Arabidopsis thaliana: one gene and its partners. The protein of the gene in region 1 purifies or fractionates together with the protein of each later gene. This does not show direct contact. Each region holds a gene or a part of one and is shown in the gene's direction. Other genes may lie near its edges.

What was found.
Region 2: the proteins of AT5G01940 (region 1) and AT2G40290 fractionate together in Arabidopsis thaliana (co-fractionation; one large-scale study listed by BioGRID). This does not show direct contact.
Region 3: the proteins of AT5G01940 (region 1) and AT4G39520 fractionate together in Arabidopsis thaliana (co-fractionation; one large-scale study listed by BioGRID). This does not show direct contact.
Region 4: the proteins of AT5G01940 (region 1) and AT2G18720 fractionate together in Arabidopsis thaliana (co-fractionation; one large-scale study listed by BioGRID). This does not show direct contact.

What each region holds. Positions count from the first base shown.
Region 1 is NC_003076.8:362,822-366,626, reverse strand, and holds AT5G01940 (eukaryotic translation initiation factor 2B family protein / eIF-2B family protein), read left to right. Parts: upstream 1-1,735; 5' UTR 1,736-1,761; coding exon 1,762-1,926; intron 1,927-2,001; coding exon 2,002-2,101; intron 2,102-2,208; coding exon 2,209-2,270; intron 2,271-2,349; coding exon 2,350-2,492; intron 2,493-2,571; coding exon 2,572-2,714; intron 2,715-2,806; coding exon 2,807-2,895; intron 2,896-2,943; coding exon of another isoform or gene 2,944-2,991; coding exon 2,992-3,033; 3' UTR 3,034-3,284; downstream 3,285-3,805. Other genes in the region: AT5G01950 (Leucine-rich repeat protein kinase family protein), read left to right, coding at 39-197, 282-565, 642-708, 792-1,042, 1,120-1,587; MAN6 (Glycosyl hydrolase superfamily protein), read left to right, coding at 3,760-3,805.
Region 2 is NC_003071.7:16,828,233-16,832,998, reverse strand, and holds AT2G40290 (Eukaryotic translation initiation factor 2 subunit 1), read left to right. Parts: upstream 1-1,772; 5' UTR 1,773-2,109; coding exon 2,110-2,493; intron 2,494-2,623; coding exon 2,624-2,680; intron 2,681-2,759; coding exon 2,760-2,846; intron 2,847-2,929; coding exon 2,930-3,076; coding exon of another isoform or gene 3,077-3,127; exon of another isoform or gene 3,128-3,164; coding exon 3,165-3,269; intron 3,270-3,577; coding exon 3,578-3,676; exon of another isoform or gene 3,677-3,680; intron 3,681-3,813; coding exon 3,814-3,969; 3' UTR 3,970-4,233; downstream 4,234-4,766. Other genes in the region: FER4 (ferritin 4), read left to right, coding at 1-101, 254-337, 422-482, 568-655, 913-974, 1,092-1,157, 1,262-1,325, 1,461-1,498; AT2G40280 (S-adenosyl-L-methionine-dependent methyltransferases superfamily protein), read left to right, coding at 4,699-4,766. UniProt on the Arabidopsis thaliana protein: Functions in the early steps of protein synthesis by forming a ternary complex with GTP and initiator tRNA. This complex binds to a 40S ribosomal subunit, followed by mRNA binding to form a 43S pre-initiation complex.
Region 3 is NC_003075.7:18,370,332-18,376,037, reverse strand, and holds AT4G39520 (GTP-binding protein-like protein), read left to right. Parts: upstream 1-1,798; 5' UTR 1,799-2,037; coding exon 2,038-2,079; intron 2,080-2,230; coding exon 2,231-2,284; intron 2,285-2,678; coding exon 2,679-2,855; intron 2,856-3,112; coding exon 3,113-3,184; intron 3,185-3,486; coding exon 3,487-3,546; intron 3,547-3,623; coding exon 3,624-3,733; intron 3,734-3,825; coding exon 3,826-4,125; intron 4,126-4,208; coding exon 4,209-4,400; intron 4,401-4,500; coding exon 4,501-4,552; intron 4,553-4,658; coding exon 4,659-4,709; 3' UTR 4,710-5,173; downstream 5,174-5,706. Other genes in the region: AT4G39530 (Tetratricopeptide repeat (TPR)-like superfamily protein), read left to right, coding at 1-1,302; CYP96A12 (cytochrome P450, family 96, subfamily A, polypeptide 12), read left to right, coding at 5,567-5,706. UniProt on the Arabidopsis thaliana protein: Binds GDP and GTP, and has low GTPase activity in vitro.
Region 4 is NC_003071.7:8,114,328-8,118,680, reverse strand, and holds AT2G18720 (Translation elongation factor EF1A/initiation factor IF2gamma family protein), read left to right. Parts: upstream 1-1,682; 5' UTR 1,683-1,703; intron 1,704-1,869; exon of another isoform or gene 1,870-1,911; 5' UTR 1,912-1,921; coding exon 1,922-2,045; intron 2,046-2,143; coding exon 2,144-2,312; intron 2,313-2,342; exon of another isoform or gene 2,343-2,368; coding exon of another isoform or gene 2,369-2,388; coding exon 2,389-2,491; intron 2,492-2,574; coding exon 2,575-2,802; intron 2,803-2,887; coding exon 2,888-3,106; intron 3,107-3,191; coding exon 3,192-3,761; 3' UTR 3,762-3,826; downstream 3,827-4,353. Other genes in the region: AT2G18721 (uncharacterized protein), read right to left, coding at 1,575-1,682; SCY1 (SECY homolog 1), read left to right, coding at 4,229-4,353.

The sequences.
Region 1 (3,805 bases):
CTAAGAGCTAAGTGAAAGTCTTCTTTATCTCCTCTCAGTTAACTTCAACAGTGAAAGGAAAGGCGTCAGCTGGCGACGATTGGCAGCAATAACTGCAGGGGCTGTGGTGACTGCTGTTGCGATATCCGCTGTGGTTGCAGCCTTGTTGCTTAGAAGATACAGCAAGCACGAGCGAGAGATATCTAGAAGACGGTCATGTAAGTGTAACCAAATCTTCCATTCCCAATTTATCCCACTGAAATTTACAACCAACTTTAACTGAATCTGGTTGTATTTGTCAGCCTCGAAGGCTTCCTTGTTGAATTCTGGGATAAGAGGCTTTAGTTTCAAAGAGCTAGCAGAGGCCACCGACGATTTTAGCAGCTCAACTTTGGTTGGGCGCGGAGGCTATGGAAAGGTTTACAGAGGTGTCTTATCTGACAATACTGTTGCTGCAATAAAGCGAGCAGATGAAGGGTCTTTGCAAGGTGAAAAGGAGTTCTTGAATGAAATAGAGCTGCTCTCGAGGTTGCATCATCGGAATCTTGTGTCACTGATCGGTTACTGTGATGAAGAAAGCGAGCAGGTACTCTCTTGATACCCAGTAGAACCGCCTGAGTAAGGTGTTATCAGTTGGATGTCTATAAAAATTGCTTATGAAGTTGCTGAATTTGCAGATGCTGGTGTACGAATTTATGTCAAATGGCACCCTGCGCGACTGGTTGTCTGGTAGTAATTCACAATGATTCATGGGGCGTTTTCGGATGTGTGTCATTTAGTTTTCTCAATTGATGGAATATTTGGTGATGCAGCTAAGGGGAAGGAGTCATTGAGCTTTGGGATGAGGATTCGTGTTGCGTTGGGAGCAGCAAAAGGTATTCTCTACCTTCACACAGAAGCCAACCCGCCAGTTTTCCACCGAGACATCAAAGCCAGTAACATCCTCCTCGACCCCAACTTCAATGCCAAAGTTGCAGACTTTGGACTGTCTCGACTTGCTCCTGTTTTGGAGGACGAAGAGGATGTGCCTAAGCACGTCTCAACCGTTGTCCGTGGGACTCCAGTGAGTCATCAAAATGAATGATGTGAAACATATATTGGCACAAGAGATTCATTGCTTAGTTTTATTGAATGTTGTAGGGGTACCTGGATCCTGAATATTTCCTGACACACAAGCTGACGGACAAGAGCGATGTTTACAGCATCGGAGTTGTGTTCTTGGAGCTGCTGACTGGTATGCACGCCATATCCCATGGAAAAAATATAGTACGAGAGGTGAAGACGGCTGAGCAGAGGGATATGATGGTATCGCTGATAGACAAGAGAATGGAGCCGTGGTCGATGGAAAGTGTTGAAAAGTTTGCGGCTTTGGCACTGAGGTGTAGCCACGACTCACCAGAGATGAGGCCAGGAATGGCGGAGGTGGTGAAGGAGCTGGAGTCACTGCTCCAAGCATCCCCCGATAGGGAGACAAGAGTGGAATTGGCGTCATCTTCGTCAGTGCTGTCAACATCGTCGTCGAATGTGACAAGAGACCTTTACGAGTCGTCGAGCCTTCTAGGAAGCGATCTCAGCAGCGGCTTTGTTCCCAGCATCGCTCCTCGCTGACTCCAACCATTGCATCTATGTACAAATCTCTATACATATACTTTGACTCCACCTTTCTTACTTTTTAACCAATTAGATATCTTCCAGTTACACTGTAATATATTCTTTTCAAAAATCGTTAATACCAAACTTCGAATCAAAAAAAAAAAAAAAAAATTCGTTATACCAACATCAATGTCTGAAGGCCCAATACAGGCCCAATCACAGTCCCTGGTTTCGTTTTTAATTTTCCTCCGATCAACGCTGAAACTTGTCGACCCGCCGGCGACGATGGATTTACAGCAAAAGCAGGCGTGTTGGAAACTTGAACTCGAGGTTATAGATAACGATTCTTCATGGGTATGCTTCAGCTTCTCCACCTCTTATATCACCGTTTCTTCGGGTTCCGTTTTGCTAAAGCTTATGCTGATGTAGGTCAGTAAATTTGATCCTTCTAAGAAGAAGAAGAAGAAGAAGCAGAAGCCTCTGATACGCGAAGACGACATCTTCTTCCAGAATGGAGGACACTTTACGGGTAATGAATTAGCTTTCAAAGAATTGCGTTGGAAGATAATCAGTTAATCGTACCCAAATCTATGTTGTGTCTGAAGCTACTGTCCTTTATTGATGTTATCGTAACAGAGGATAACTTACCGGACTGTCAATCTAGCCGGAAATTTGAGCCAGATTATGGCTACAAAGAGGTACTTTTCGCTAAAATTAGAGTTCTTTAGTTATGCTACTGGTTCTCATTTGTGATCCGAGCTTTTCTATGCTCTGCAGCTCTTGAGTATGGTGTTTGATAGGCTTCGTGAGGAAGATGTCGAGGTTTCTACAGAGAGGCCAAGAACAGTGATGATGCCTCCTCAGCTCCTTGCAGAAGGGACGATAACTGTTTGTTTAAACTTTGCTGATCTCTGCAGAACGTACGAATTCTAACTCATCTTCCCTTTAACTACTTGTAGTTATTGAGCCATTTATCACTTTTAAATATACATTTTTCAGGATGCATAGGAAGCCAGATCATGTCATGAAATTCTTACTTGCCCAAATGGAGACAAAAGTATCGCTGAACAAACAGCAGCGGCTAGAGATTAAGGGTTTAGTGTCTTCTAAGGATTTTCAAGCTGTGTTCCGGAAATACATTGGTGAATTCCATAACTAGTCTCCGGTGTTGATTTTTTTTTTGTTTTTCTAGTGGTGGGTGTCTTGTCTGATATGTAAAATCATTGTGTCTTAGATGCGTTCGTAATCTGCGTCTGCTGCAAAAGTCCTGACACAGCTCTCGCGGAGGAGGGCAATGGTCTTTTCAATCTCAGATGTGAGACGGTAAGTAGAATAATCTCTGCAACCATCTGATTGCTGCGTTCAGGTCAGGGGAAAGATGAGGATAAATTGGTCTCATTTGAGTCTGTTCTTGTGCAGTGTGGTTTAGTAGCACCAGTCGATATACCAAATCTACTGTGAAGAAACTCATGAAGATATGGAAATTCAAGAGCAACGTGCTGGGCAAGGTTCCATTGTAAGATTTATAGTGATTTCTTCTGACTTTGTTAGTCAGTTGTATCAGAAGACGTTTTCTCTACAACTCTAAAAAAGAAGTTCCCGCGTCCTGAGAGATGTTGTAGGGCTGAACTAAAACTCTCGAAACCGTTTGTGAGATGTCTTTAGCTAGTGTATGCCTAATGGAAGTTCTTTAATGATCAGTTACTGAGACAAAACGCAAATGATGCAAATTTGCTAAGAGTAACGTGTCATTTTATATGCACGTAATGCAAAAACATAAGTTCCCTAGTTCCTGTCACGGTAAAGAGGATTTGCTTTAGATCACATTGTGCATTTGTGAAATGACTTTAAAGATGGGTTGGTCCGAAGCTTGCGCAAGAAAAATTGAATATGACATGTCAGCTAACTCTAGTGGGGGTTGGCTTCGAATCTTAGCTTGGCAGTGACACGTTACTTTGGAGTTGTCTCACATTCCAGTCCTCTGATTAATATCTCTCCAACATGTGCTTCAAGTTTCATCTCTTTGCTTTTGGGCTGAAACCTAGGACCGCTTCCCTTGCCTTGTAAGTTAATGTTTTTTATTTAAATAATCAAGTCCATGTTTTATTGACTCTGTGGATATGAATATATACCTAAACATGCAACCAAATGAAGAGGAATCTGTTCTCATCCATAAACCAACGAAAAATGAAGGACCAACTTGGATTCAGAATTGTGCTCTGTTCTGCGGTTT
Region 2 (4,766 bases), on another chromosome or scaffold:
GTAAAAAAGGAGCTCGATCTCGTCCCTACCAGCTCTCATCTCTCACTCGCTCGACAAAAGTACTCAGACGAGTGCGAAGCCGCCATTAACGAGCAGATCAAGTAGGTTATTCTTTCTCACCCCAGTCTCTTAGATTCGGTATTATAATCTGGTTGATTGGCTATAAGATTTGGTAACTTGGAACCTCATGTTGATTCTGCTTATTGTTTATGAACCTGTGAATTTGAAATTCTTCAATGGATTTTGGTTGCAGTGTGGAATACAATGTCTCGTATGTGTATCACGCTATGTATGCTTACTTTGATCGGGATAACATCGCGCTCAAAGGTCTTGCCAAGTGAGTCTCCGGTTATTCAAGAGTGTTGATATTTTCGGATTTTTTTTGTTTATCCATAGTTAATTGTTGGTTTCATGGAATCAGGTTCTTTAAGGAATCAAGTTTGGAAGAAAGAGAGCATGCTGAGAAGTTAATGGAGTATCAGGTCTTATGAAAGTTATTTCCATTTGTTTACCTTATTGGAGCTAATTTGGTTCTAACATGTTTTAGTTTTTTTCCATGAATTGCAGAACAAACGTGGTGGGAGGGTTAAGTTACAGTCCATTGTAATGCCTCTTTCAGAGTTTGAACATGTTGACAAAGGAGATGCTCTTTATGGTAAGCTCAAAAATGCTAACACTAATAATCCCAAGTGAAAAAACTTCTTTAGTTTCATATGTCTGCCACATTCTAAGAAATTAGATATTGACACCAATGATTTTGTTAAGCTTTTGAAGAGATTGCATATTTTCACTAGCAAAGACTGAATTTTATCTGAGTTCTTAAGTATTATGAAAATGTATCTCTCATATGGAGATTCAAGTCTCAATGGATATAGGAATTTTAACATACAATTCTGTGATTTGTTGTTGCAGGCATGGAGCTTGCTCTGTCACTGGAGAAACTAGTTAATGAGAAGCTCTTAAACCTTCACAGTGTAAAGACCATCTCTTCTTGAGTTCATACTATATATGTCAAATCCGTATTTGAGAAGTAAATCTAATCTTCACTCGGCAAGAACTGTTCTCAGTTTGGTAATGCTTTGCTTCAACAGGTTGCTTCGAAGAACAATGATGTCCACTTGGCAGATTTTATTGAGAGCGAGTTTCTGACAGAGCAGGTAATTTATTTGGTGTTCTATGTTAGTGGCAAAGAGCTACTGTTGTATATAAGCTATCAAAGAGAATCTAATAGGAATTTTTGATAAAATAAAACATTTCTCAGGTGGAAGCAATCAAGTTGATCTCAGAATATGTGGCTCAACTGCGACGAGTTGGCAAAGGACACGGTACATAAATAATCTCTCACATTTTGTTCTAATCTATAAATTTATAAAAGAACAAGAAAATCCACTTATTCATCCTACGTCGTGCCTCAAACTTGGTTTTAATATATGTCTTTGAATGCTTGTGGGTAATTTCAGGAACATGGCATTTCAATCAGATGCTTCTGGAAGGGTAAGCAGCTTCGAGGGACTCTTGTGTCTACTGTGTTTCTATATGTGTCTACTTTATGTTTAGTTCTTTAGCTTTTACGATTTTGTGAGGTAGTAGACTTCTTTTTCTGTAAGAGACAAAAGACATGATCACATAACTTTATATTCTGGTATAAGGTTCATCAAACCCACCTGGTGATCGATTCTACATCGGTTCGGTCAGAATGTTTTTGGACTGCCAAATGTGGATTCGAGCTCTAGTTTAGTTTGCTCCGGTTTAAACGCAATTCATGAATAAGCAAAGGAAATCAATCCAAACTTACGTTGTGAAAGAAGTTGGGCCGAAAATGTCTGAAACCCGAATAGGCTTTTAACCCCTAACCCCTTGAAACTATCTTGTGGCCCAATTAAAACCTAATTGTTTAACTGACACGGTGCCGTTTAACTTGGCATCTTTGACGCAAGTCGACTCATTTTCCGTTTGTGTTCCTTGCTCATTTCTTATCTCTAGAAACCTGTCTGATTTGCTCCGTCGCCTAAAAAGTCTAAAACCCTAAGTGTCTCCGCCTCGTAGCTTTACCCGATTCAACGAAGAGTGAATTCGCGTGAGCTCAAGCAGTATCGAAATCTACCAATCATGGCGAGTCAAACACCGAATCTCGAGTGTCGGATGTACGAGGCGAAATACCCAGAGGTGGATATGGCGGTGATGATCCAGGTGAAGAACATTGCCGATATGGGAGCTTATGTTTCTCTCCTCGAGTACAACAACATCGAAGGCATGATCCTTTTCTCCGAGCTCTCTCGTCGTCGGATCCGAAGTGTTAGCAGTTTGATTAAGGTCGGAAGAATTGAGCCTGTCATGGTTCTCCGTGTTGACAAAGAGAAAGGTTACATTGATCTGAGCAAACGTAGAGTCAGCGAGGAAGATATTCAGACTTGTGAAGAGAGGTATAACAAGAGCAAACTTGTTCATTCTATCATGCGCCATGTTGCTGAGACTCTTTCAATTGATTTGGAGGTAAAATATCGTAGTTCAAATCTGGGATTATCTACTGGATTTGGATTTTGCTTGTTAGAGATATTATCAAATATCATAGCTTAGTGATGTGATCGTTGAATAGAAATTGATTTGAGCTTTCATGTTGCAGGACTTGTATGTGAACATTGGTTGGCCTTTGTATCGACGACATGGTCATGCTTTTGAGGTAAGAATTTTGTGAATTGGAGATTCATTGTGTATCTCTATGGTTATTTAGTTCTCATATATAATTTTCTTTTGTTCAGGCTTTCAAGATCTTAGTGACGGATCCTGATTCAGTGTTGGGTCCTCTCACCCGTGAGATCAAAGAAGTTGGGCCTGATGGGCAAGAGGTATATACTTTGTTCTCTGGCATTGTTTTAGCGGTTAGTACTAACTTTATTTGGTGCTAATCTTACAAGTTTTCTGTTTGTAGGTGACTAAGGTTGTACCTGCTGTTACGGAAGAAGTGAAAGATGCACTTGTGAAGAACATTAGGAGGAGAATGACACCACAACCAATGAAAATCCGGGCTGATATCGAATTGAAGTGTTTTCAGTTTGATGGAGTTGTTCACATTAAGGTCGTATCTCTTATTAGATTATCTTTAACTTGTGAAATGAATACATTATGATTTCATTTGATTTTCTCACCCATGCTTGTAATTTCAGGAGGCTATGAAAAATGCTGAAGCCGCTGGAAATGAAGACTGTCCTGTTAAGATTAAATTGGTTGCTCCACCTCTGTATGTCCTTACTACTCAGACACTTGACAAGGTTAGGCAATCTTCTATCTTGCACTATGATTTACTTGGTTTGGTAATTGGTATATTATAGAAATCCTCCCCTACTTATCTTTAAGAGGTTTATGATCTCTGTTTAGATTGTATATCCACTAAAGCTACTTGCCAGAATTTTGAAAACACTGTAGTTGCAAGGAAAGTAAATGCTTAAGAAAACACTGGACATTGCAACTTTGTTTGCCAATTATGTAGCTCTGCGGATTTGTCTTCACTTAAACCATAAATGTGTAAATGCTATGTTTTGTCCCATTTTATCTTCTCAATTTCTCAAATATTAAACAGGAACAAGGGATTGAAATTCTAAACAAAGCCATAGCAGCATGCACTGAGACAATTGAGACACACAAAGGCAAGCTTGTCGTTAAGGAGGGGGCTAGAGCTGTGAGTATCTTAAATTAGTTTTTTTTAAGTGATGAACCGTCTCGAGTTGCATGTCACAAGAACGAGCTTTTCTTTTGTGTTTTGTTTAATTTGGTTCACAACCGCCTATTAATGTTTATAATCTATGTCAAATATAGGTGAGTGAACGTGATGAAAAGATGCTGACAGAACACATGGCTAAGCTACGTCTTGACAATGAAGAAATGAGCGGCGATGAAGATAGCGGAGACGAAGAAGAGGACACTGGTATGGGCGAAGTGGATCTCGATGCAGGTGCCGGAATCATCGAGTAAGATTGCCGGATTTTTCTTTCTATTAAATCTACCCAATCTCAACAGTCCCAGTATTTTGGTTTAAGCTTTGACAAGGCAGTAGAAAAACCTCCGAGAGGATTTATGTGCTTTTTGATGACTCTGAGGCATTTTATTTTACCCATAGGGGGTGGTTACATATCAATCATACATTCATGGTTTTATAAAAGATTTGATTCTTTGCATATGTTACTACTGCTCAAGAATATGTTGCTCCACCACATGACTCATTATTATCTTAGGAAAACTTTGGCTCAATATGATCATACTTTTGAGTTTAAACCTCAGGAAAGTAGGTTGATTGGATCTGGCAATGATAGGTGTGTAGATTTAATTCAGATCTGATGTCTCCGAAGATGCAGATATTCATCAATTACTACTGCGATCTTCTATTGAGAAAATTTACCAAAAATGAAATTCTTAAAAATCCTCTGTCTGATACATAAATGGTTAACTTGCAATTGATTCATAATTAAAATGATTTATTACAAGATCAAACATCTTGTCTTATACTACTAATCAGAAAAGAAAAATTCTTTCGGACACAAATCCTTTTTTAATCTGTCGGCGCATTAAAAATTACTTAAGCTCTCTCTGCAAAATCGAAATGTGAAAGTTGCGACTTTTGGAGCTCAGCTCAGCTCACACTTTCCTCTTCCTCTTACCTGAAACGCGTCTCGTAACACTGATCTCTAATGATCTTCGTCTCCAATGGCGATATCAGTACAACACGTCGTCGTTTTACTCCTCTCCACTCTCCTCATCGCCATCACCTTCTT
Region 3 (5,706 bases), on another chromosome or scaffold:
ACCGATGCCAGAAAAGTTTTTGATATTTTCGCTGCTGCTGATGTGGTTTTATTCAATGCAATGATTGAAGGTTACTCGAGACTTGGGACACAATGGGAACTACATGAAGCATTGAACATCTTTCGTGACATGAGGTTCAGATTGATTCGACCTAGCCTATTGACTTTTGTTAGCCTTCTACGTGCATCTGCTTCTTTAACAAGCTTGGGACTGAGTAAACAAATCCATGGATTGATGTTCAAATATGGGTTAAACTTAGATATATTTGCTGGAAGCGCTTTGATTGATGTTTACTCAAATTGCTACTGCCTCAAGGATTCCAGGCTTGTGTTTGATGAAATGAAAGTGAAAGATCTTGTTATCTGGAATTCTATGTTTGCAGGTTATGTTCAACAATCAGAGAACGAAGAAGCTCTCAACCTGTTTCTGGAATTACAGTTATCAAGAGAAAGACCTGACGAATTCACGTTTGCCAACATGGTTACAGCAGCTGGCAACCTAGCAAGTGTTCAATTGGGTCAAGAGTTCCATTGCCAGCTTCTGAAAAGAGGCTTGGAATGTAATCCGTATATTACAAATGCTCTACTAGATATGTACGCCAAATGTGGTAGTCCCGAAGACGCTCATAAGGCTTTTGATTCAGCAGCTTCAAGAGATGTAGTTTGTTGGAATTCTGTCATCTCATCTTATGCGAATCATGGAGAAGGCAAAAAGGCTCTTCAGATGCTTGAAAAAATGATGAGTGAGGGAATAGAGCCTAACTACATCACCTTTGTTGGAGTTCTATCAGCGTGTAGCCATGCTGGTCTTGTAGAAGATGGACTTAAGCAATTTGAGTTAATGCTTCGATTTGGAATTGAACCTGAAACTGAGCACTATGTTTGTATGGTATCTCTTTTAGGCCGTGCTGGTAGATTGAACAAAGCAAGGGAGTTAATTGAGAAAATGCCGACAAAACCAGCTGCTATAGTATGGAGGAGCTTGCTGAGTGGATGCGCAAAGGCCGGTAACGTCGAGTTAGCTGAACATGCTGCTGAAATGGCTATTTTGTCTGATCCCAAGGACAGTGGATCGTTTACTATGCTTTCTAATATTTACGCGTCCAAGGGTATGTGGACTGAAGCTAAGAAGGTGAGAGAAAGAATGAAGGTTGAAGGTGTGGTGAAAGAACCTGGACGTAGTTGGATTGGGATTAATAAGGAGGTTCATATATTTTTGTCTAAGGATAAATCTCACTGCAAGGCTAATCAAATTTATGAAGTGTTAGACGACTTACTTGTGCAGATCAGAGGAGTTAGTTAATAACTACCATACAAGAACTCATTTTCTATTGGAGTGATGGACTCTATTTGGTTAAAGACCAATGCAGCAGATGAAGCTTAAAAGCGAGCCAAAGAAGAAAGAATAAGCCATGGTTAATATCGAGAAGCTGAAGGGGTAGCTAGCTCAGGAGAGCAAAGATGTTGCTATTAAGTTTTGTAATCAAGGGAAAATCGATTCTGTTCCGTTCAAATCCGAAGGAAGACTCAAAAATTAACCCCGGTTCAGTTCTCAGTTTCTTCTCATCATCTCCTAAAACCGGGTTGAGAGAGAAGTTGTAATGGTGAATGCATGAATGGTATGTTGTACATGATTCATTTGAATTTAGTTAAACCGTTTTTGAAATCAACTAAAACCGAAAAACACCAATTCAAAACAAAACAAAACAAAAATTCAGAACAGGGTTTATTGTATATAACCAAACTAAATTCTCATTCTGTTGTAAATTTTATTAAACCGGAAAACCAAATCGGACATATATGGGCCTAAAATGTTGTTGGGTCAGGCCGAATTCTAGACAGTTCTGTTCTAGTTTTTTCTCCTTTGTCGTAATCAGGTGGACGAAACGAAAACCCTCGGGATTCCTCTGCTTCTGTCTCGTCCGTCGTCGTCAATTTCTCTGCATCAGAGATTCCGGTGTCCTTCTTCCTTTCACTCGCGTATAACCTCTTTTCCTTGACGTTGTCTCCGTGAGCTCTCTGTGCTTTGACTGCAACCATGTCGACTATTATGCAGAAGATCAAAGAAATTGAAGATGAGGTAATTATTCAATCCTCTCTGATTCTTCACCTCTTCTCTTCAATTTTGGATGCATAGAACTGTGAATCCGAAATATCTATTCTGAATCAAAGAAATGATTTTTCAATCTGGGTGACTCACAAGTACGAGGTTTTTTTTGTTTATGTGGCAGATGGCTAAAACACAGAAGAATAAAGCTACTTCTCATCATCTGGGTTTGTTAAAGGTACATTTTTTCTCCTCTTTAGGTCGTTTTTTGTAGCTTTGAGAGTGAGGTTGATTGGTTGAGGTGTTTTTGCTTATCAAATGCAAATTTGGTTGATTGGTTTATATCTGTTTTGATACTTGATAAAAGCTATCATGAAATCCCAACCAGTAAGCAAGCTCATTAAGAAATATTTTAACTTCTGGTTGAAATCGTTTATGTTTTATACGAACTCCCAAATCATTGAATAAGCACAAAGCTGAGATATTTTATTTACGGCATGATCTCTTGTGAAGTTCCTTGGATCAAACAACTACTAGGCAGGCATTATATATTATTCTGTATTGATTTTAGAATTTGGTACTTATTCCTGCACCATTAGCTTCTCGTCATATTTCACTGGTCCATTTTGCAGGCCAAGCTTGCTAAGCTTCGGAGGGACCTTCTTGCACCGCCTACCAAAGGTGGCGGTGGTGGTGCTGGAGAAGGTTTTGATGTGACTAAAAGTGGAGATTCTAGAGTTGGACTGGTCGGATTTCCTTCGGTTGGAAAATCTACGCTATTAAACAAGCTGACTGGGACATTTTCCGAGGTTTGTAGTTATCGTTACGAATATTGAACTTCCTTTCTCTTGTTGTAATTGGAATTTTGAAACCTACCACGTATCCATGGCATCCTATTTCTAGTTACTTTTTGACCAACTTCCTGTGCAATATCACTTATAAGGCAAGACTGTTCGGCGCTAGTCTTTTCCTGGATAGATGAACATAAATCTTGGAATTAGAACTGTATTTTGGCTGATACTCAATTTTCTGAAGGTACATACTGTGATACACAATGTTTTCTCAGGTTGCTTCTTATGAGTTCACGACTTTGACATGCATTCCTGGTGTTATCACATATCGTGGAGCTAAAATCCAGGTATGGTATCTACATCTATGCGTCTGTGTTAATCTGTTATTTGTGGGGGAAAAATGATAATTCTTGGATAGTGTTTCCTCTGTCTTGGTAATTGTTGAAACACAATGAAATCCTTGGCTACATATGCCATGTCCTAGCTTGTAATTATCTTTTCTCGAGTCTTACTTCTATATTAAACATGTATCTTGCTTGATCTTTTAATGACTTCTTGGTACTTAGTTTAAGTCAGGAAACGACCTGTAATTATTCATTGGACACTGATGCTAATACTCTTTTTTATGTCCCCTTCTATGTGTTTGCAGTTATTAGATCTTCCTGGTATTATTGAGGGTGCTAAAGATGGAAAAGGTAGAGGAAGACAGGTAAGTCGAGTCTAAATCTCTTGAGTATTTTATATTTTGACCCTCTTTGATCATCTTTCACACTTTACTATTTCCAGGTTATAAGTACGGCTAGGACATGCAACTGCATCTTAATAGTTCTTGATGCCATAAAACCAATTACTCACAAGCGTCTCATTGAAAAAGAGCTCGAAGGATTCGGAATAAGGTATAGATTGTTTATATAACAACCTTTATACACTGTATATTTGATCGTTTCTGGTAGATAGTCTGACTCGATCATGGACTGTTGCTATGTAGGTTGAACAAGGAGCCACCAAATTTAACATTTAGGAAAAAAGACAAAGGTGGTATCAATCTAACTTCTACAGTCGCTGTCACACACCTTGACCTTGACACCGTCAAGGCGATTTGCGGTGAGTACAGGATGCACAATGCTGACATCACCCTGCGCTACGATGCAACCGCTGATGACCTCATTGATGTCATCGAGGGCAGTCGGATTTATATGCCCTGTATCTATGCTGTCAACAAGATCGATTCAATCACACTTGAGGAACTTGAAATTTTGGACAAACTTCCTCATTACTGTCCTGTCAGGTAAATGTTGTTAAATTACCGGCAGGATTTGCGATAAACTTGTTTACTTTTGCCATTAAGATATAAATTTATTTATCTTGCAGTGCGCATCTGGAGTGGAATCTTGATGGACTTCTGGACAAGATATGGGAATACTTGGATCTAACTCGAATCTACACAAAACCAAAGGCAATGAATCCGGATTATGATGATCCCGTAATCTTATCATCCAAGAAGAGAACAGTAGAGGACTTCTGCATCCGGATTCACAAAGACATGCTTAAACAATTCAAGTAGTAAGTAATTAAAATCCTTAACATTTTTCTTTTCTCTGTTATATGGTTCTTGCTCAAAAGCATCGCTCATGAATACTTAACTAATGATCTCCTGATACAGCGCTCTGGTTTGGGGTTCAAGTGCCAAACACAAGCCACAAAGAGTTGGAAAGGTTAGTTCTTCTAGCAAATCAAACAAAAGTTAATCTGGTAAATCGATATTGCAATATCCCTGACTAACTAACTATTGCTGTCTCGACATCGTATTTTATACTTCAGGAACACGAGCTTGAGGACGAGGATGTTGTTCAGATCGTTAAAAAGATATGATTTTTGCAGATAATGGAGAGCAGTCAAGAGACCAACCAAAGTAGCCATAATGAGATCTCCTATAGGAAGGTCAGGATTTCTTTTGGTTTCTCAGCTTTATCTTTCTTTTGTAATTGTATTATTATATCCAGACGAAATCTGTGTCTACACCCTTTTTTATGTCTTATTAGATACTTTTGTCTTCTTCCAATAATACTATTAAGCATGTGATTGATGTTGTCGGAACACCTCCTATTATCTCCAGTATGGGTTTGCCTAGATTTTCTCCTCCCTTGTTTTTATGTATGCAACTAGACTTTTTTGGATTTTATTTACTAAACATATGATTCAGTTTTTCTTCATGTAATAAAGAAAAACTGTTAAAACGGCCTTCATTGCACTGACCAGGTCGAGGTGTTATTATTTCTGACAGTTAGTTGTTACTTGGACTGTTGATTAAATTTAATGACATTAATAGATTTGGAAAACTATTACAACGACCTTCGTTGCAGTGTCTGGGACCGTGAATTCTGATGCACTTCTCGATTTGTCTATCCTCTTAAAGTTGGTTTGTCATTTAGTGTCTGAAATTGTAAGATTATGGACCCTTCTTTACAAGTCCTCCACCAATTCTGTCTCATCCATTTGTGTGGTTAGTAGCTTCACCAGCTTAACACTTTCACTAATCTTAATTCTTAAGATATGAAAAGCAGTTGAATGAATGCATTGGTAATTTCTTTCTTTTTTAATAAATTTTCTTTTTGTTGGTTGCTAATTTATATATGTAATAATCTTACTCTATATAAACAAGTTCCTTCAACACACAAAAGGAACCACCACCATATTGTGTCTGTAAACCAAGCTCCTAACTCTCTCATATGGCTTCTGTAAGCTTACTTGACGTTGCCATAGCCATCATTTGCCTTTTCTTCTTCTATTACATGTACTTCAAGAAACCTCATGGTCAGGTTTTTCGAAACTGGCCAGTTATTGGGATGCTTCCAGGCTTCCTGATGGT
Region 4 (4,353 bases), on another chromosome or scaffold:
AAAAAAAGAATTTACACGGTTGGATTTCAATGTGACGTCATAAAAATGCCACTCTTTAGATCTTTGATTCTTTTTCTTTTTTTATTGTTTGACATTTATGAAAGCGACTGATAAATGTTTATTTTGTAAAAGTTCTAATTTAGAATAATTTTGATTATTAATAATATTAAACTACTAAGATTTGTATAGTTTAATACCATTATCTTCTGTAACTAAGATTTGTAGATCTTTTGTTTCTGTAAGATCAAATTTACAATTTAAAGTGTACAAAATCTTACAATACTAATGATGGCATAAAGAGATTAACAATGAGATTTTTTAACGTTATTGTTATATCAAGAAAACCAGAGAAAATTAATTAGTAATTGATTGATACATTGTAAGAATAGGATCTAATGATATTTTAATATTCAAAAAGGTTCCATTATAGAGGTTACATCTGGTGAATATGATTGAATACAATTTGATATAGAGAATTAGAGATACTTGCATTATTATTTGCTTCCTATTATTATTTGACTGCATTATTGGTTTCTTTTTCTATGTAAAAAATATTTTCAACTCTCCAACAAAGAAACAAAATTCTCTGACATTTTGCTTAGAAAGAGTGGCGTTTTCGTCATTAAACAAAGGAATAGTTTTGGTGGTAACGTAAATTGTAAAAAAACAGCGAAGGAGACAATAGAAAATGAGAGCAGACATTGAAGTTAGTGGATTTTCCACAGAATGGGGCCTACAATGTTATTGCCCACTCAGAGAAATAGGGTCACTGAAAGTGATAGCTACTTCCCATTGCTGGGATCGTTGTGTACTTTTTCTAACCTAAATTTCCCTCAATGCCTTTTTCTTAACTTATAGAATTGGTCGAAACTTGAAAGTATATACAAATGCCACAGAAAAAAACATCATTTAATACCTTCTTAATTGCACGATATGATATCAGATGTTTTGTAACCAAGAATTGGTCCATGTAAACAATTTATTATGTGGCAGAGGAAGACTCAAATTCAGGTGGCTGATAAAAAGTGGGGTTTAAGATATTTCTTGAACTGGAAGACAATGAGCGTGTGTTCTCATTAGTATTACAAATCATATTTACATTATTATAAAGCGGAACATATTTACATTATACTCCAAATGATGTAACTATAAAATTTGATCTAACAATATATATCGTTAAGAAAAATAACCTAAATTTATCACAGCTTATTCATTTACACTCCTATAGAATCATAGATTTCCTACTCTTTTTTTTTTGTCATCATATAAACATATACTACTTTTTGTTCAAGGATCAATGTTTCTTAGTTTGGTGAAAGATAGAAGTAAACTGGAGTGGGCCAATGGTTAGGCGTGTAAGCCCAAACTTTGGAACGATTTTAGCCCATCTCAAAAGGAGCGTGCTATATTTTGTAAATGAAATTGCAAAATTACCTAACACAAATTTTCCTATAAAAAAACATTTCGGGTAAGAAACCGACAATTATAAAATAAAAATTGTAAGACATGTTTTATTGACACATGGAAAAATGAAGTTGGCGAAAAAGACAAACAGTAAACGTTAAGATAAAACCCTACCTATAAATATACCTTACACGCCACCTGACTTTATCAAAACCAAAAACACAAACCTTCAACGGCACGCTTTCTCCTCTGAAATCTCTGCGAGCAAACTTCTTCATCTACCTCTTACCGTACTTCAGGTTTGTGTAAATCATTTTTATAAGAACTTCAGTGAAATAGATTAGCAACCCTAATTGAATTTAATCGAATCGTAACTATTGTGAACGGAACCCATCCATCTTGCATAAAAACCCTAGTTTCTGAACAGCCTTTCGAAACTTCTAGTGTTATTGTATTGGCTCTGATCAACGTTGTTCTAAAGTTGTGAACTTTGATTGATTGCAACAGAGTGTTTAAGATGAAATCTGTCGTAATGTCGAAGAACAAGGGCTTAGCTGAACAAGATCTAAGTAAACTTGATGTAGCTCAGCTGCATCCTCTCTCTCCTGAGGTCATCTCTCGTCAAGCCACCATTAACATAGGTATACACAAGTTTTTGTTTCATTGAGTTTTGATGCTGAAGAAACTGATCAGCCGTGCATTGAAAGCTAAAGATATGACTATGCTCTCTATATCTCAGGAACCATTGGCCATGTCGCTCACGGGAAATCGACAATCGTGAAAGCCGTTTCCGGTGTGCACACTGTCAAATTCAAGAGTGAATTGGAGCGTAACATTACCATTAAACTTGGTTACGCAAACGCAAAGATTTACAAATGTGAAAAATGCCCTAGACCAGTAGCCTACAAGTGAATTCTTGCTCTTCTTTTGCTACAATAAGGTTACGTAGTGTACGTAGCAACTTATGATATGTGTTAATTATAGGTCTTTCGGGAGTGGCAAAGAAGACAACCCAAGTTGTGATGTCTCTGGACATGAGAAGTACAAGATGAAACTACTAAGACATGTCTCATTTGTTGATTGCCCGGTATAAAATGAGTTTTAACACTATTTCTAAATCTTTTGTAACCATTTTCTATATGTTAATGAGGTGTTTTGTGTGTTGATTAGGGACACGATATCCTAATGGCGACAATGCTGAATGGAGCAGCGATTATGGATGGTGCTTTACTAATCATTGCTGCGAATGAGACATGTCCACAACCACAAACAGCTGAACATCTTGCTTCTGTTGATATGATGCATCTTAAAGATATCATAATCATTCAGAACAAGATTGATCTCATCCAAGAAAACGAGGCTATTAAACAGCACGAGGACATCCAGAGATTTATAACGGTTTGATTCAATTTTCCCATTCTGTTTTTTTTTTGCATTTTTCACTTCTTGATTAGTTGGTTAAGTTTTAAACTTGTTATTACAGAACACGAATGCGGAAGGTGCTCCTATAGTTCCTGTCTCAGCGCAACTGAAATACAACATCGATGTTTTGTGTGAGTACATTGTCAAGAAGATTCCACTCCCTGTGAGGGATTTTGTGTCACCTCCAAGAATGATTGTGATTCGTTCTTTTGATGTCAATAAACCTGGCTCTGATTATGATGGTATGAAAGGTGGAGTTGCAGGTGGGAGTATCCTTCAGGTAAAACATACTCAATACCCCGAAAAACTAGGATAAATCGCGGTTGAATCAATGTAACTTATGTCTCTCTTTGCTTTGTTTGCAGGGTGTTTTGAAGGTGGGGCATATAATAGAGATAAGACCTGGAATCACTAGAAAAGATGAGAATGGAGACACTAAATGCACTCCCATTTACACGCGTATAACTTCATTGTACGCGGAACAGAACGAGCTTCAGTTTGCTGTCCCGGGAGGTTTGATTGGAATTGGGACAAGCATGGATCCTACGCTTACGCGTGGTGATAGGTTAGTTGGTCAAGTCCTTGGTGAAATAGGTACTCTCCCTGATGTCTATGTTGAACTTGAAGTGAGTTTCCAGCTTCTGACACGTCTCATTGGAGTGAAGACAAAGGAAACAGAGAGGCAAATGAGAGTGTCAAAGCTAGTCAAGGGAGAGATACTGATGTTGAATATCGGATCGATGTCTACGGGAGCTATGGTTATTGGAGTAAAGAAAGATATGGTGAAAGTTAATCTGACACTCCCTGTGTGCACCAGCATTGGAGAGAAAGTGGCTATAAGTCGCCGTGTGGATAGGCATTGGCGTTTGATCGGTCGCGGTCAGATTGAGGCTGGAACCACCATTTTTATCCCTTCTCCTCCTTCTTTGGCATGATTATATTTGATGCATTCACATATACCAAACTTGTAGTCTCATTATATCTTCAGAGTATTCCTAATCTGTCACCAAAGGAGATAACTAAACTTCTATGTGCTTATGCTTTTTGTGTGAAGTCTAACTAGAGTTTGATCAATTGCATCATCTTGATTTGTTATTAAAAGTTTTATAGTCTATGGATGTTACAGCTTAATTAACTAATTATCCTACATAGTTCATTTGAGAGAAAGATATAATTTGTGATTGTTGAAACTTGAAACTTGAAGTCTTGAAGAAACAGAAAGAAAGACTTGAAGTCATGGTCTCATTCCTAACGCCCAAAACAACAAAGATTAATAATGTGCAAAAGATGTATTGGGCCTAAAAGGCCTGGCCCATTAGCTGGATTCCGTAAGAAAAAAAAAAAAAGTGAAAAGGAAAAGAAGAAATCGTCGTTGTTGTGGAGAAGGAGAAGAAGGATAAGGATGATAACGGTAAGCGAAGTTTCCTCTTACTCTTCTTCTTCTTCAAACTTCGCGTCTCTGTCTCGTCTCAATCACAAATCATCTTCGAGATTGCGAAGCTCTTCTCTTTACAAAGGAAGCTTCTT